Linked DNA regions of Arabidopsis thaliana. The protein of the gene in region 2 purifies or fractionates together with the protein of the main gene of each other region. This does not show direct contact. Each region holds a gene or a part of one and is shown on either strand. Other genes may lie near its edges.

The links. Proteins that work in one complex are often made in the same cells at the same time.
Region 1: the proteins of CYCD3;3 (region 2) and AT5G40460 purify together in Arabidopsis thaliana (affinity purification with mass spectrometry, with the first as the bait; one large-scale study listed by BioGRID). This does not show direct contact.

Annotation. Positions count from the first base shown.
Region 1 is NC_003076.8:16,198,528-16,205,775, forward strand, and holds AT5G40460 (cyclin-dependent kinase inhibitor SMR3-like protein), read left to right. Parts: upstream 1-3,614; 5' UTR 3,615-3,937; coding exon 3,938-4,276; 3' UTR 4,277-4,831; downstream 4,832-7,248.
Region 2 is NC_003074.8:18,563,189-18,570,834, forward strand, and holds CYCD3;3 (CYCLIN D3;3), read right to left. Parts: upstream 3,647-7,646; 5' UTR 3,482-3,646; coding exon 3,011-3,481; intron 2,933-3,010; coding exon 2,731-2,932; intron 2,645-2,730; coding exon 2,514-2,644; intron 2,416-2,513; coding exon 2,134-2,415; 3' UTR 1,946-2,133; downstream 1-1,945.

The DNA of each region.
Region 1 (7,248 bases), on a different chromosome or scaffold from region 2:
AATGGTTAATCATCTTATTAATTGACATTCATATATGTTCTATTTCTCGTCACTATATATATCTTATAAAAGTAAAAGAAATAATATAATCTTAATAAAAATTTCGTCCAATAAATCTTTTTTTTTTTGCACCCTAAAAGTATTAATTTATTTTATTTTTGGATAAATGTAAGAAGAAAACAAATCATTGAAACTTAGTTTTGCATAGAAAATGTGGATGGAAACACACATATGCAACATTGATTTATGTTGAGATTTAATCTCGATTGTAATCAATTATGAATCATCTATATGTGGTTCTTAATTATGCTTAATTACTTATTCAGAGTTTCGAATTCCACTTTTTCTAGAGTTGTGATAGTAACGGGCAGATAAAAATATTATTGAAAACTTAACCATTTACAAAATGCATCTCTAGTAATATTTTATACTACTGAAATATAATCTGCATATGAACATCAATGTTGGTCTACTTTGTTTTTTTTTTCCACAAGTTGGTCCTTCTTGGTCTACTTTGTTTTGTGGCGTATATAAGTAACATATATGCTATGACTAAACACTGAATGAAAATGTATGCAAATTGATAAAAAAAAGGAGGCTCCTATCAAACCGACCAAACCGAAAATAATTGTCCTTACGTCGCCGTCCAGAACAATATTATCGAAGATAAATCCAATTTTGCTTTTGCGCCCAATATTAAATTTAAGGTAATGATAACAATTCGGATTGGGTTCATAAAAGCAAGTTATAATATACAATGAAATATACTTTTGGTGTGATGTATCTTACCTTTTCGTATGAACTGATTGCGTGAACGATTGCATCACTTATTTAGCCTAATAATTTTTCTAAAAGAGAATGATCCGATCCAGATTGGTTTAGATATGATCAAAATTGCAAGGAGGTTCGTTAGAAGTTCACCAGAACTGTTATTTACTTGCAAGGAGGTGGCCCGAGCGTTACAAACGCGATATAAAGATTAATCAATATGGATAAGAGTGACTATAAGCTCATACTCTTAGAATAACTTTGAAAATGTGTCGCATGATAATCGTTTGACTAGGTTTACGTTTTCTTTATACACTATTTTTGAATAATTATTCATTTAAATGCATTTCATGTATAATATTCTCTTTGTTTATTTTTGTTTGACTGTTTAGGAAAAACACACATATTAAGGTAAGCATATTAAAGTTGATTTTAAATGTATTATTTTGTGTGTTTTACAATTTCATATAACTTTAAACCAATGATATTCAATCATTTTTATTAAAGTTAACACTTCATCAAAAATAACAAATAAATGTTGCATAAAAAACCTTAAAAAATCAATTTCTTAAAACAAATTTATTTCCTAGAAAATCAAATAAAAAGGAACAGAGAGAATAGTAATTTATAGATGACTAATTGATAAATAATTTTTCATACAATGTAAATAAAGAAATAGTATAAAACATGTTAAATATTTATATAGATATATTTTCTAAACATTCATGTATCACGGAACGAAAATTGGTCGAGAGTAAGATACACAAGTCAAGATAAAGATGTGAAGTGTAAAATTTTCACATGAAGAAGAAGGGATTGTTGTCCAGTTTGCCATTTTTTGGATTTTTTTCTAAAAATGATAATTTTACTAAACTTTTACAATTTTGCCATTTTTAACATTTAAGATATACGTATTTACGATTTTTTTTTTAAACACGTATTTTATACCAAATACTAAACCAAAAAAAAACCCGACTAATTTTATCATAATGGGTAAAACACAAGTTAAATCACTTTTTTATACCTGAAAAATGATAAAATTTTAAAAACTATTTAAAGATGGCAAAATCTATAAATGCCATAAGAAGAATAGCAAAATTCGTAATTAATTCGAAAAACAATCGAAACCTTACAAATCATCGTAATTAAACACATGTTAGAGTCATTTTTGTATTAAAAGAAACCCTCATATATCAGAACAACCGAATTGGATACAAGATTACATGATAAATGATCGAGAATTGGCGAGTTATGTATAAGATATGTCAAAGGTCTTGCTGGACATTCGGGTTCGATGGCAATTTGAACACTTTCGATAAGTAACTAATAGAATTGGCCAAAGAGGTCTTATAAGGCTGGTTGACTAAGAGGGTCCCATGCATTTCTTTCACACTAAAATAGATAAGGGTCGGCTCTTTTGTAGGTCCAATATAATATGCGTTACTTTCAATTTCAAATTTTAGTTAAAAAACATTTCAAATTGTTCTTCTTCATATTTTACATTAATTTTCATAACGTTTTGAATGCGAATAAATCTAATGCTTATGTGACACAATGTCAGCCCTAGCTAGTCCCGACCTTCCTCAACTTGTCTCTATCACCATTCATGTCTCTCAAAGGTCCATTCATCCTATCGCCTAATAATTGAATATTGATTACTTTTATTACATAAAGAAATATAGAATATAATATATCAAAGTTAACTATAAAATTGTAAATTGTAAAATGTAAACCTTAACTAAAAGATGTATTTGATTACATCATCTTTTTTTTGTCTAAAAGAAATTGGGATGGACCTTTTATCTATTTGTATCTCTTCGTCTCATGGTCCGGAATAATAACTAAAATTTACCTAAAATTTCAAATTTCTTGGTATCATAAAATAACTACAATGCAACATTGACTTATACTTCATATCGCACGTATCGGATTTAAGATTTCTAGGGTTCCAATCTTCATGTTCGACTCTAGAACCAGAGGGAGAGCAATCCATCATGCTGATAATCACCCGCCAATCTCTCTTATCCTTATCTTTCTAATGACTAGAATTAGCTGCATATATATTGTTTGTTTGATATTGACATTGTATTTGTACACATAATGGCTTCTATGTATATATAAGTGCATGCATGAATCCGTGATGATGGCACACCTTAATTACGAACATAACTTTAAACTGTATTAATGATCGATTAGTTATAGATATATAATATATTGTTGTTTGCCTCCATGGTTAGCTAGTTTTTGACATGGCTTGATATGCTACTGATGTTTTCTAACGTTGCTGTTTATTGAATTGTATATATCATATAGTTTAATAATGTTGATGAATAAGCCGTGAGTGATATAAATTCCAAACTCATTTTCCACAAGATTCACACTAGATTTTGTTTTCGGCAGATTCCATGATTGTTGATAATCTTATCAACCAAAATTAGAGAGAAGGCAGATGAATATTTAAAGTGATGGGGAAAATTCAGTGTGTCAAAACCGACGTCGTTTTGATGACCAACAAACTGACGAACTGAAGTTAAACCGAGTTAATTTCAGTTTGAACCTAAACCCAGAGAAAACCATAAAAAAATGTAAATTAACGATAACCGATTAGAACCAAAGAGGGTAAATAAACCAAACCGATGTTCTCTTCTTCGGTTCTTCTCTTACCTAAAGAAAGAAACCTCGCGGGAAAGTAAACTGGGGGCAAAATCGGGAATCACTAAAAGGATATAAAGGCGGGAAAAAGAGCCGTTGCGAACCAAAACTCTCAAACTATGGCGCCAAACAAAAGACGGTGGTTGCGACTCTGCCCGTAAAATTTCTCGGGCACCTAAATTTTTATTCTTTTTAAATTTCCAATTTTATCCCTTTTTTTCTTCATCTTCTTCGCAAAGCTTTTTTCTCCTGAATATTATTTTGACTATTTAAACCCTCTCTTTATCTCAATTTCCTCTCATTTGTTTTTTCTCATTCTTCTCAACAACAAAAAAAATTCTTCCTTTCAGACCAAAAAATTTGACCAACCACAAATTTTTAATCTTTTTCCCCACTTTCATTTTATTCCGATTCCTCTTCTTCTAATTGGAACAAGTCTCTGTTTTTATCTCTCTGTTTTCTTTTTGGGTTTACTCTGTTTTTTCATTTATCTTGGTTTTGAGTTAGTTAAAGAGAGATGGGTTTTTCGAAGAAATCTCAATTCGAAGGAGGTTTAGAATCCGACGGGAAGAAATGGGTTATCGCCGGAATTTCGATTCGGGCTTCGTTGAAACCAGTCAAGACGAAACTCAGAGCGCCGCCGGAGATAGTGACCGAAGTTGAAGAAGATTGCTACAACGAAGAGGAAGAGTGTTCGACGACACCGACAGCGAAGGAAACGAAGATACCGGAGTTATTGGAATGTCCACCAGCACCGAGAAAACGACGGCCGGCGTTAAAATGTCGGAGTAACGTCGTTAGAGAGTTTTTTACGCCTCCTTCTGATTTAGAGACGGTGTTTCTACGTCGCCGTTAGTGAGATTTGAGTTTTTTTTAATATAGTTCTCTAGTTATATATTAGTTACAGGCCATGAAAACTTTGGTTATTAGACTTAGAGTTAAAAATATATGATAATGAATCTAATTATGATAATGCGTATCTTCCAAATTAGCCTTGTTCATCACATTTGGTTTCATTAATATTTTGGTTATACATATATCAACAAATAATCAGTCCAGATTTTATAAAAACACTAATTTGATGTAGAAAATTTTATACTCAGAGCCTTGGATTAAGCCTACGGAGACTAAAGGAGAAGTGACGCGAGCAAATCTTACCAGTTAGCTCAACTACCTAAATATAATAATAAAATTACCAATAATTTGTGACAAGTCCACACGGCAAGCTTTTGACTCTCCACTATACTCGTTTTTTTTGGGCAAATCCACTATACACGTTTATAGGTTTTTTTTTTGTTGTTGGTAAAACTCGTTTATAGGTTAATAACTTAAACTATGTATTTGCATAATTATTGTTTCCTTTATCTAATGTTCTAGATGTGGGCCAATATAGTTTTTATTAACAAATAATATGGTGGGATCTAATACAAAAATCTTTAATTTCAAATAAAAAGAGGTAAATCATACTATTTGGAAAGAGAAGAAATCAACAATTTTATAATGCACACATGTAATGTTTTTTATATGCTTTAAAAGGATTCTGAAGAATTTCAATGCATGACTTTTTTTTAAGGAGGCCTCTACTTCTAAAGCCATCCCAACAAATATGATACTTTCTTTTTTCAGGTTAAAGAGCTTTTTGCGTGCACAATTGCACACTCACTAAGTCATTAGTATCTTTAATTCATTGACCACTACTTTGTATTGTAACAAATTAATTAAATAAACTCATAAGACATTATGATTAGTAATTACTCATGCTACGCACCAATAGTACTATTTGCAGATTAAATGTGTTGCATGCAAGTAAGTCACTAATTCTCAGTTGTGTTCTTGTGGATTGAGTCATGAAAAGGACAAAATAGGGTTCAGAGAATAGCGGTGCGATGGGAGAATCCAATGTGGGACTTAAGGCCTTGTTTGGTTCCTTTACGAGACAACGACCAATCTCGTGTTTTTTTCCTCTTTTTTTTGAAATGCCAAATACAAGAGAAATATTTGAATAGAAGGAGACTATGACGATTGACGAGTTTGGATCATTCTTGTGAACGAGTTTATTTCACTGTCATGACTTTAGGAACTATAATACATTTCTTTTCAGGAAAAAATTATATTGCCTGCCGAATGTACTAGCAATTCAAAATGAGAATCCAAGTTTGAGGATTAGGTTCACCTTTCACAAGTCTGTAAATTTGTTCTAGTTAGCAATTCCAAAACAATAGCTTTTAGTGTCCCAACTGATGATAGCCGAATCTTCCATTTTAGGAGACTTTAAAAGATTAAATTCTAAGCTGAAAGTGCGGATGAAGTAATATAAATTGCAAGGAAGAAAAGACACAAGAATTTTGTTAACGAGATTCGGTTTTTCCTACTTTCCGGGAGAAGTTTAGATTCAATTTCAGTAGAATAATAAAACAAATTACAACAAATTTGCAAACGCGTAAAATAAGCACAAATCTCTTGATTTACCGCTCTCTTTTAAAACGTGAAACCTTAAAGATAATTTTTACTCTTAATTAAATTCCTTCAAAATCTAGATTTAATCAGGATAACACCTAACCCTGAACTAAACTATCCTTAAATCTAGACTTCAAAGCAAAACCACTTGATCACACAAGCACAAACCCGCAAAACTAAGTTGCACACAATCTTACAGAAAGTTCTCAAAGATTTCTTCTTTATATCTCAGCTCTCTTGCTTCTTCAAAACGTCTCCAGCTTCTCCGTATATATCCAAAACGATTTTTTAATCATTATAGGAAAAGATTTCCAAATTCCATAAGAAAAAATAAATTTTTATTTACATTTTCCTTTTTTCTCATTGAATTTCACGTTCATCAAGTCTTCCAAATCCTTCTAAGTCATTTTCCTCTTTTGATTCATCATCTAAACATATTCCAAAAATATATTTTCAAATTTTCTAGTAACCGACACTCACACAAAAACATTCGCATCCTGAATTACTTCTTAAATCATTTAGCAACTCCATCAAACAAAAATTTGTATACTATTAAACTCATTCAACGACTCCATCAACAACAAATGCATCTTCATAAGAATCTTTCAAAATGTGTAATTTCACTTTAAAATGCATGTTTTGATTATTCATTGGATCCGTACAGATATAAGGATAAACAAAGAATTTAGTACGTAGGAGTCGAAATGAATAACTTATTAATAGAGATATTATTGTTACTTCTTGACTAAAAGGATTTTTTTTAAAAGAAAATAATAATTTAAATGACGGATATCGTATTGAATTGATTTTTTATTAATTCATCTTTTTTGTTTCTTATTTCATCTTCCATCATTTAAGAAAACACAAACATTTTTCAGAACTAACGACTCAAGAATCAATAAGATCATGTTATATATCAGTGTCCAAATCTTATATAATAACACATACAATCAATTCCAAATTTATATAATATGTAAAAGATAATGATTGAACAAGATATTTAGAATCCAAGAAGTGACTGATTATTCTGATTATCCAAGAAGATAAGATAATTATTAATTTGTAAATTATAGTTTAAACGAATCCAAGAAGTGACACTAATTAAAGGTAAACAATAAATTTGCAAGGATCAAGATTACGTGACAATTTCACGATGCCTAAGTCAGTTTCTCAAAGGTAATGATGAACTCGAACTGGCCGTCTTCTAACTAGTTCATCTAATTAACTAGTATTTTAGATACTTTCGTATTGTCTATTGTGTGTGTGATAAGATGTGCATACATATTAATAGTTTTGGTTTTATCATTCTTTTGTACTGTCGAAGTTTTGGTTCTCTTTTATTTGGATAGAGACATACATTTGTGACTTGTT
Region 2 (7,646 bases):
TACATAGAAGATACATGAAATGACAAAAGTATCCATCATCCTTTCACTTTTGACCGACGACCTGCATTAAACGGCTTCACTTTGAAAATTTTTAGCCGCTTATTCGCCAACTAAAAGACTTGTCCGTACTGTCAACAACACATGTAGGAAGTAGGATCTTTCATGTGAAACACCCACGTGTATACTACTTGCATGCACGTGTGCTTCTAAACCCGTCAGACATCAGTAAAAATTTATACTAAATGGGCCGTATCAATCTTCATTTGTTAACTTTGGCCCAAAACGGCTCAACAAATAGTAAATACGTCATCATCTAGTGATGCCATCTTCAATTCTCAAGAAACCAACGCTTATAGTTACTTATTTTCATTGTTGTTTCTTATGCATTATGGTGATGTATGTTTTCAGAAATTCTAGCTACAAAACTGCGAATAGCGAATTGTTGTTTTTTTGGGGTCAGTTTAAGTTGATCCAACTTAAGCTTATCATCATTTTGAGATTCTGAGTGCTATTTTATTTCAAACATTATGGAACTTCATATGATACTTAGTTAATGTTTACATGCTTGATTGAAGATTTAGGATCTAATACGTCAACGATGATTTGACTTTTCAAAAATTTTGAGACTTTGAGATTTTCTACTGTAAGACTCTGTTTGTTTAGTCGTCTCATATGTGTCTAGTAATGAATATTGGAAAATATCAAATGTTGGATTTTCAATGGACTCATCACAATCAGAAATGATGATGAAAACTTTGGTGTGAAACCTCTGACTTGTTACATGAACTAATGAACAAATTTGTAAAATTGTTATATTAGAGTATCCTAAAAAATATCGTTCTGAAGCGACTAAGAGCATGATTATAGGTGATACTCATAAAGTATCACTAAAAAATGTTTAGTATTATTTATAATGTTTGTTTAATAGATATATATATATATTTTTTTTGTTTTTGGTAAATCTGAGCAATCAGAAGATGGCACGTCAGATGATACTAGTATCACAAATATCACTGGACTGATACTCATCAACCTCATTCCAATTGTTTTGTCAATATAAAAATAATTTTTGCACTTGTGATACTTAAAAAATATCACCTATGTACATGGTCTAATAATCTTAATTAGGTCTTAATGATACACTGGTAAACTCCATTTGCATATGTTTGCCTTAGGGGAACGATTGACTCTTCAACATTTATGATTTATGTCTTTAGAATTCATAATTTCTGTTTTCTTTTTGTTCTATTTTTTTCTTGAAAGTATTAATGTGAGTTTCACACAAGATCTCTGAGATGACAGAACAAAAGTTTATGAGTGGTTTGGTTTTGGTACATTCACTCAAGTTCAACCAAAACAATCTAATTTTATTTTCTTTATATCTTTTTTCTGTTGAATCTCTTCAATGCTATTTGGTCCTGTGTGATAACAAGACTCTTCATGGAAGGTATATTTATTTAATGTTATGACATGACATAGCAATGGCAAGAAGTAGATAAAGTGATATGTGTACGTAATGTTATGTGTATATCCCAACCTGTTTTGCTTTTCACCACAACTGAATTGAACACAAGTACTTGGACCAACCCAAGTGTTGGTCTCTCTGCATTTCCTCTCAAATCAAACCTCCCAAAAATAGAACAAAATTTATTAGAACATTTTTTAAAAATAAAACTTAAAACTTTGGAGGAGTAGCTAACAAACTCTCTAGTTGTCCAACACTATTGGTCATCCAACTAACTCAATCGTTGTCTCTTCAATTCAAACTTCAAAGGACAAATTTCCACATACCTGTACTAAGTACTAAACAATCATGTATGTGATGTTTTAGACCAATGCCAATAGTGTAATGGTAATGTTTGTGTATAATCTTTGACTGTTATCTTTCTACTTGCAAAATGCAGAGGTTGTGAGACGAAATTAGATCATCATCAAGCCATGAAAAAGGTAAGATCCAGCGGAAACTTTTAATGTAAAAGAACTTTGTTTTTAGAATATCAAATAACGAAACGTACACCATTTGCAACCGTCCATAAACACAAGAACCGAGAACCATATAGCCGATAATATGTAAAACATGGAAACAGATTTTAGGTAACTAAACCGACACATTTTGATGGGTTGTTGACATTATTAGCGAGGACTACTACTAAGCACATCGAAAAACATTCGGTTTATTGAAGATAGCCTCATCTGCTGCTCTTGCACTCTTCTCCTCTTGAGCAAAGGCTCTGAAGATGGTGAAGACGACACTGAAGCAGAAGCAGACACAACCCACGACTCATTCGAGCTATCAGAACTGAATGACGCATCAAACACACCGATCGGACTAGCGGGTTGTTGCATCCAATTCATCATCCTTTTCTTGCTTGGACTGTGGTCTAACACTAACTCATAGCATTTATTTACCTTCTCCTGTTTCAAGTATAATGATGATAAAATCAGTTCTAGATCCTTAAACCTTACACTAATCACATTGGCATTTATTGATCAAAGACACCGTAACCACATACCGAATCAACTTTGAGTAGAGTCATGAGCTGAGATTGGTATACAGCTTCGTCACACATCTTCAAATCTCTAATAACAGAGACCATTATTGCAGTGGCTAACACAGAAGGACTAAAACTCAGAAATCTCGAATCTGAAAAGAAACCAAGAACAGAAAATTTAGCATCCACAACAAAATCAAGTAGATTCAAGAGATCTAAACCTAATGGTAAACATTACCAGGAATAATGGAGAGTAATAAAGATTCACATCTACTCAAGAACTCCAATTGATGATGAGATTTAAAGCTGTATCGTCGAATAATGTGATCGAAAAACGAGATTGGAGTCACAGGATGCATCCTCCAGTCAAGAGTAGACAGAACAAGAAGCTCCATTCTCTGTATAGTCTTAGCTTCAAAGACATATCTTGCTTCTTCCACCTTACAAAAAGACCAAACACAAGTCTCAAAAATCTGCAATTTCACAAAATTGAATCTGAGAAAAAGTGAGAAACTTACTTGAAAATCTAAGAGAAAAGGAACACGGATCTCTTCAACCTTAGCAGCTAAAGACAGACAAGCCAAAGCAGTAAGCTGAGACATCCATGGCTTATCTGTCTGAAACTTCCTGCTTGTAATAAACCTATCGAAGTAATTAACAGCTAAAAGAGCCGTCAATGAATTAAACCCATAATGAGATTTCACTTTAAAAATCCAATCAAGAGCCTTTTCACGACACAAAACCAGAAACTCATCATCTAAGATTTCGTCATAAAGACACGGTTCTTGTTTCGAAATCAAAGTTGATAACTCATCATCATCCCACAACATATCATGATCAGACAAACCCAGATTTAAAAAAGGAAACTTTTCAACACTCTCGTCGCACAAATCTACTTGTTCGTGAAACTCACTCTCTTCCTCACAGAAAAGACCATCAAGAACACAAAACGGTGCGTTTTGACTCTCTTCCTCCTCTTCTAAAGCCATGATTTTTCTCTTCCGAGAAGAAGATGATTGCTAATTCCTTTGTTCATTCTGCCATTAGAGACTCTCTGGATTCTTCACTCTGTGTGAGATAGAAAGAGAGATAAAAGAAGTGAAGACAAATGCCAAAGAAAGTGAAGGGTTTTATTTCACGCTTGTCCTCTTTTTTTTTTCTTTTTTTTTATTAAAAGATTTTATGTTTTTTTTTTAATTTTATTTTTATTTTCTCTCTCTGCTTTTATTTTGTCTTTTAATATTCGGATGTTTGGCGCGCGAGAAAATTAATGAAACCGTACTTCTTCTTTGTTTTATTCACAGAAATGGAAAAATCTTTTCTTTTGTAATTAATTTCCTATCTCCATAAATTAATTATAAATTGAAATCATAACTATGAATTAATTAAAATCTTTAGTTTTAAAAACATACGTACTATTTACAAAAAAGCTTATACTCACGTGCTTATTGAATGTGTAGTTACACGCTTTTGATCCCTGTTCGTTGGATGCGAGTAAAGATACTCTCTGTTAGAGCGTGTGATTCACGCGCTTATGAGGTGGTGGTGGAAGTTTCAGTGGTGGATAAATGCGTTGACCATTAATTATATTTGTCACCTTTCGGTTTCAAGCATCGATGATTACAAGTGAAAAGATTTTTTTTTTTTTTTTTTTTTCGTCATTAGTACTTTGATTTTGGTTAATACAACATAATTTTACATAAACTCTGAAAATATCGTAATGTGTAGAGTCACTGTCATTGTGTTTTTATTCGATTTAAAGATTTATTAATCGTAATTTATTAGTAGCAAATTTTTCACTTTTTTTTTTGGTGAATTAATTTATGATATACGGAAAAAGAAGATTCAAATTGATATATATAATCATATAAAATCACCCGTGGGGTCATATATGTCAGAGGAAAATCCACGTGGACGAATGGGAAGCTTTATATGGTCAACGAGCTGACATAAACATTAGAAAAAACAAAAACATAATTAACTAGGAAAAAAGGACCTCGTTCTGTTAAAACGCTTGCGCTTTATTAGTAAACTACGTTACTTAATTTTTCTTTATGTAACCTATAAAGTTAATTTTTAAATATAATAGCTTGATCTTGATGAGCATTTCAAGTTTAATTCTCACTGCTTTATATGCTAAAAAATCTAAAGACTGAGGACCCAAAAAAGCCGATTAAAATGTAAATGTATTCGATGTACTCGTAACAAAAGTTGTACCAAACTTTAACGTTCAAGATACATAAATGCAACTTATACATATAACTGAGTCTATTTATAATAGTTGTGGAACAAACATTATAGTTAGTAGTACAAAACATAATGTATAATAAATTAAGCTTCTGTTTAAATATTTAGTACTCAATAGTAAACTGAAAGATAATTTCATATTTTACATCTATAGTAGTAAAAGTGTTATTATAAGCAGAGTGAATGATCCTGTTGTCACGTTTACTGCGTTCCTATCGACCTAGACGCGGTTAACAAAGCAACAATTGTTACTTTTTTTTAACACATAGTATATATATTGATGATCTTTATCGATTGTGAAAGAAAGCAATGTGTGGTAAAAAAAAATTGAAAAAATGAAAAAGCAAAAGACAAATAAATAAGGAATGGGGAAAAGTTAATCACGAGAGGAAGAGGCCATTGGTAACAAGCGGGAGAGTCTGAGATTTGTACAAAGTTTAATAGCGACTTCTCATTTCTTACACATTTCATACTATCTTTTAAAAAGATAAAAAAGAAAAACAAAGAAATTCCTTATCATATCGCTTTAAAATGTTGTCTGTTCATAGTCTTTTTAAAAAATATTCCATTTGTTCTATTATGTTTTTTTTGTTGATGTGTAATGGCCAAATAGGTCTACAATATGTTCCATTAGATTGGTAATTTTGCGATTTTATACATTGTTACGATACCATTTTTCAGTTTTTACCATTAATACAATAGTAATATAAAATTATATAAAAACTTCTTATATTAAACATGTATATATATATATATTATAGAACTTAAACTTTCAATTGTTTTACTCTTAAATTTTGGAACAAGTTTTTATATAACAAAAAGAGAGTAAAAGGAAAGGAGTATAATTAGAGATAATGAAATAAAGGTTGTAATCTAGAGGAGACAAGAGTTATTTATAATAATGGTCCAAGAATCCGGACGGTAACCTTTTATTTAATGGGTCAAGAAGCTAGAAGATAAGAAGTGAGAGGGTATTGTTGTTTAAATGACAAATAATAAAAACCAAGATGAAGTTGATTAGATTAATAAGAGGATGTGTGTGTAAGTGTTGTGTTGTGAATTGATTAGATCGAAGAAGGTTTTTGGGTCATAATTAATAATGGCGTCTTGTCTGCCAGAGACCAACGCCGTACGCTAACTTTCGATCTCCTACTCTAACCTCTTGTTTCTTTAATTCTACCACTAATACTATAAGATATAAGTGTACACATAATATTTCATTTATAATAAACTTATTTGATGTTAGGTGTCACCCATTTGCTGTTAAATGTATTGCCTAGCTTTGCTCCTATTCCCCTTATAGTGTTTTGTGCATTTTCCTTTTTTTAAAATACATAAGAAGTCCCATGAGTTTTTGGTCTACCTGTTCATAACATGTAAGACTATATGGAGTGGCACCTAATATAGTCCATACAGTGAATAACTTAGTTCATACTGGGTCAAAGGACATAACATGGTAACTTAGTCTTGTTCATACGGTCTTACTTCATACTTTCATAGGTTCATATATAGTTGAAAGTTCATACTCCTGTACAATAAAAGTAAAACTAAGAGCATCTTTATTGGGAGTATCTCAATGAGATACCCAACAAAAAAAAAAAATTAGAAAAAAAAAAAGTAAGAGAGAAGAAAGAAAAAGTAAAAGAGAAGGAGAATTGAGTTCCTCGTAGGAAAAACTTTGAAAAACTATTCTCATCTAAATTGGACAGCTGTCATCGTATTATTAGTTCAAGTATTAAATAACAATTAATATATCTGTTTTGACTAAAATTTTTTTTTTTTTTTTTTTAGAAACTTTTCTTACTTTTATAGATGCTCTAATACATTCACTTCTTGTTCATTAAGTGATTTTTGTTTGGTGCAAGTCAATATAGTATGTTTTCATGAAATTGTGTTAGCATATTGTTTATTTATATATATGGTTTAGAAATCGAATTAGATCGGTTAAATATGATTTGAAAAAAAAAAAATCGGTTTAGTCTAAATGGAAAAGTTGATTTATTTGGTGTAGTGTCTTTTTTTTTGTGTGTAACCAATTGGAATATAATAATAGTAGGTAGTAGTAAATAGTAACTTACTATCTTGTGAAATGGTAAAATTGCACATGAATTCCGTAATAGATTAAATACCAATCATGTCAATTTGCAATTGTGTTAGAAAACTGCTTACCACTCACATGTTCACAATTTCTTTACATAAAATAAAAGATAGAGTAATGTTTATACATTCCAAAATGTGTAAGATAATATTTTTGCATTTTACATTTTCAGAACACAACATAATTTGCATTATCTAATTAATTTTGCATTTTACATGTAAAGATAACAAACAATAAAACAAATTTGCGTTTCGTAATTTTGTTCACTAAAATATTATATTTTTGATCAAATGTATAGTGGCGAGTATTTTTCAGTCTCTTTGATGAATTCATATTTCTAGAAAAATGGTTTAGTGATGCTGGTTCAATTTGGATAGTTAGCAACTAAGCATGATGATAAAATGTTAGGTAAGAGGTAACATTATATACCTTTACTCCAATCCAAATAAATTTGTTAGAGATATTCATAATTTTCCATCATTTTGGTACGTTCTCATTATTACACAATCTAACATCATTACCACCAACCTAATTACTGGCACCAGTTCATAATAATGCATACAGTATTAAGACACCAATATACAAATGACTACGTGTGTCAGAATTCCTTTGAATCTCTACTTAGTTTTTTGAGTCAACCCCAACAAGTTAGCCGTTTATAGCACTCATCACTGTTCTTGCTATAATTTTCGGTTGGAAAAGAAGAGACAAGCAAAAGAACATATAAATATAAGTATATCCCTTATATTTGTAATGATTTTAATTTGTTAACGAAATTTTGCAGTTCTATAGTCATTTAACTGGAGTAT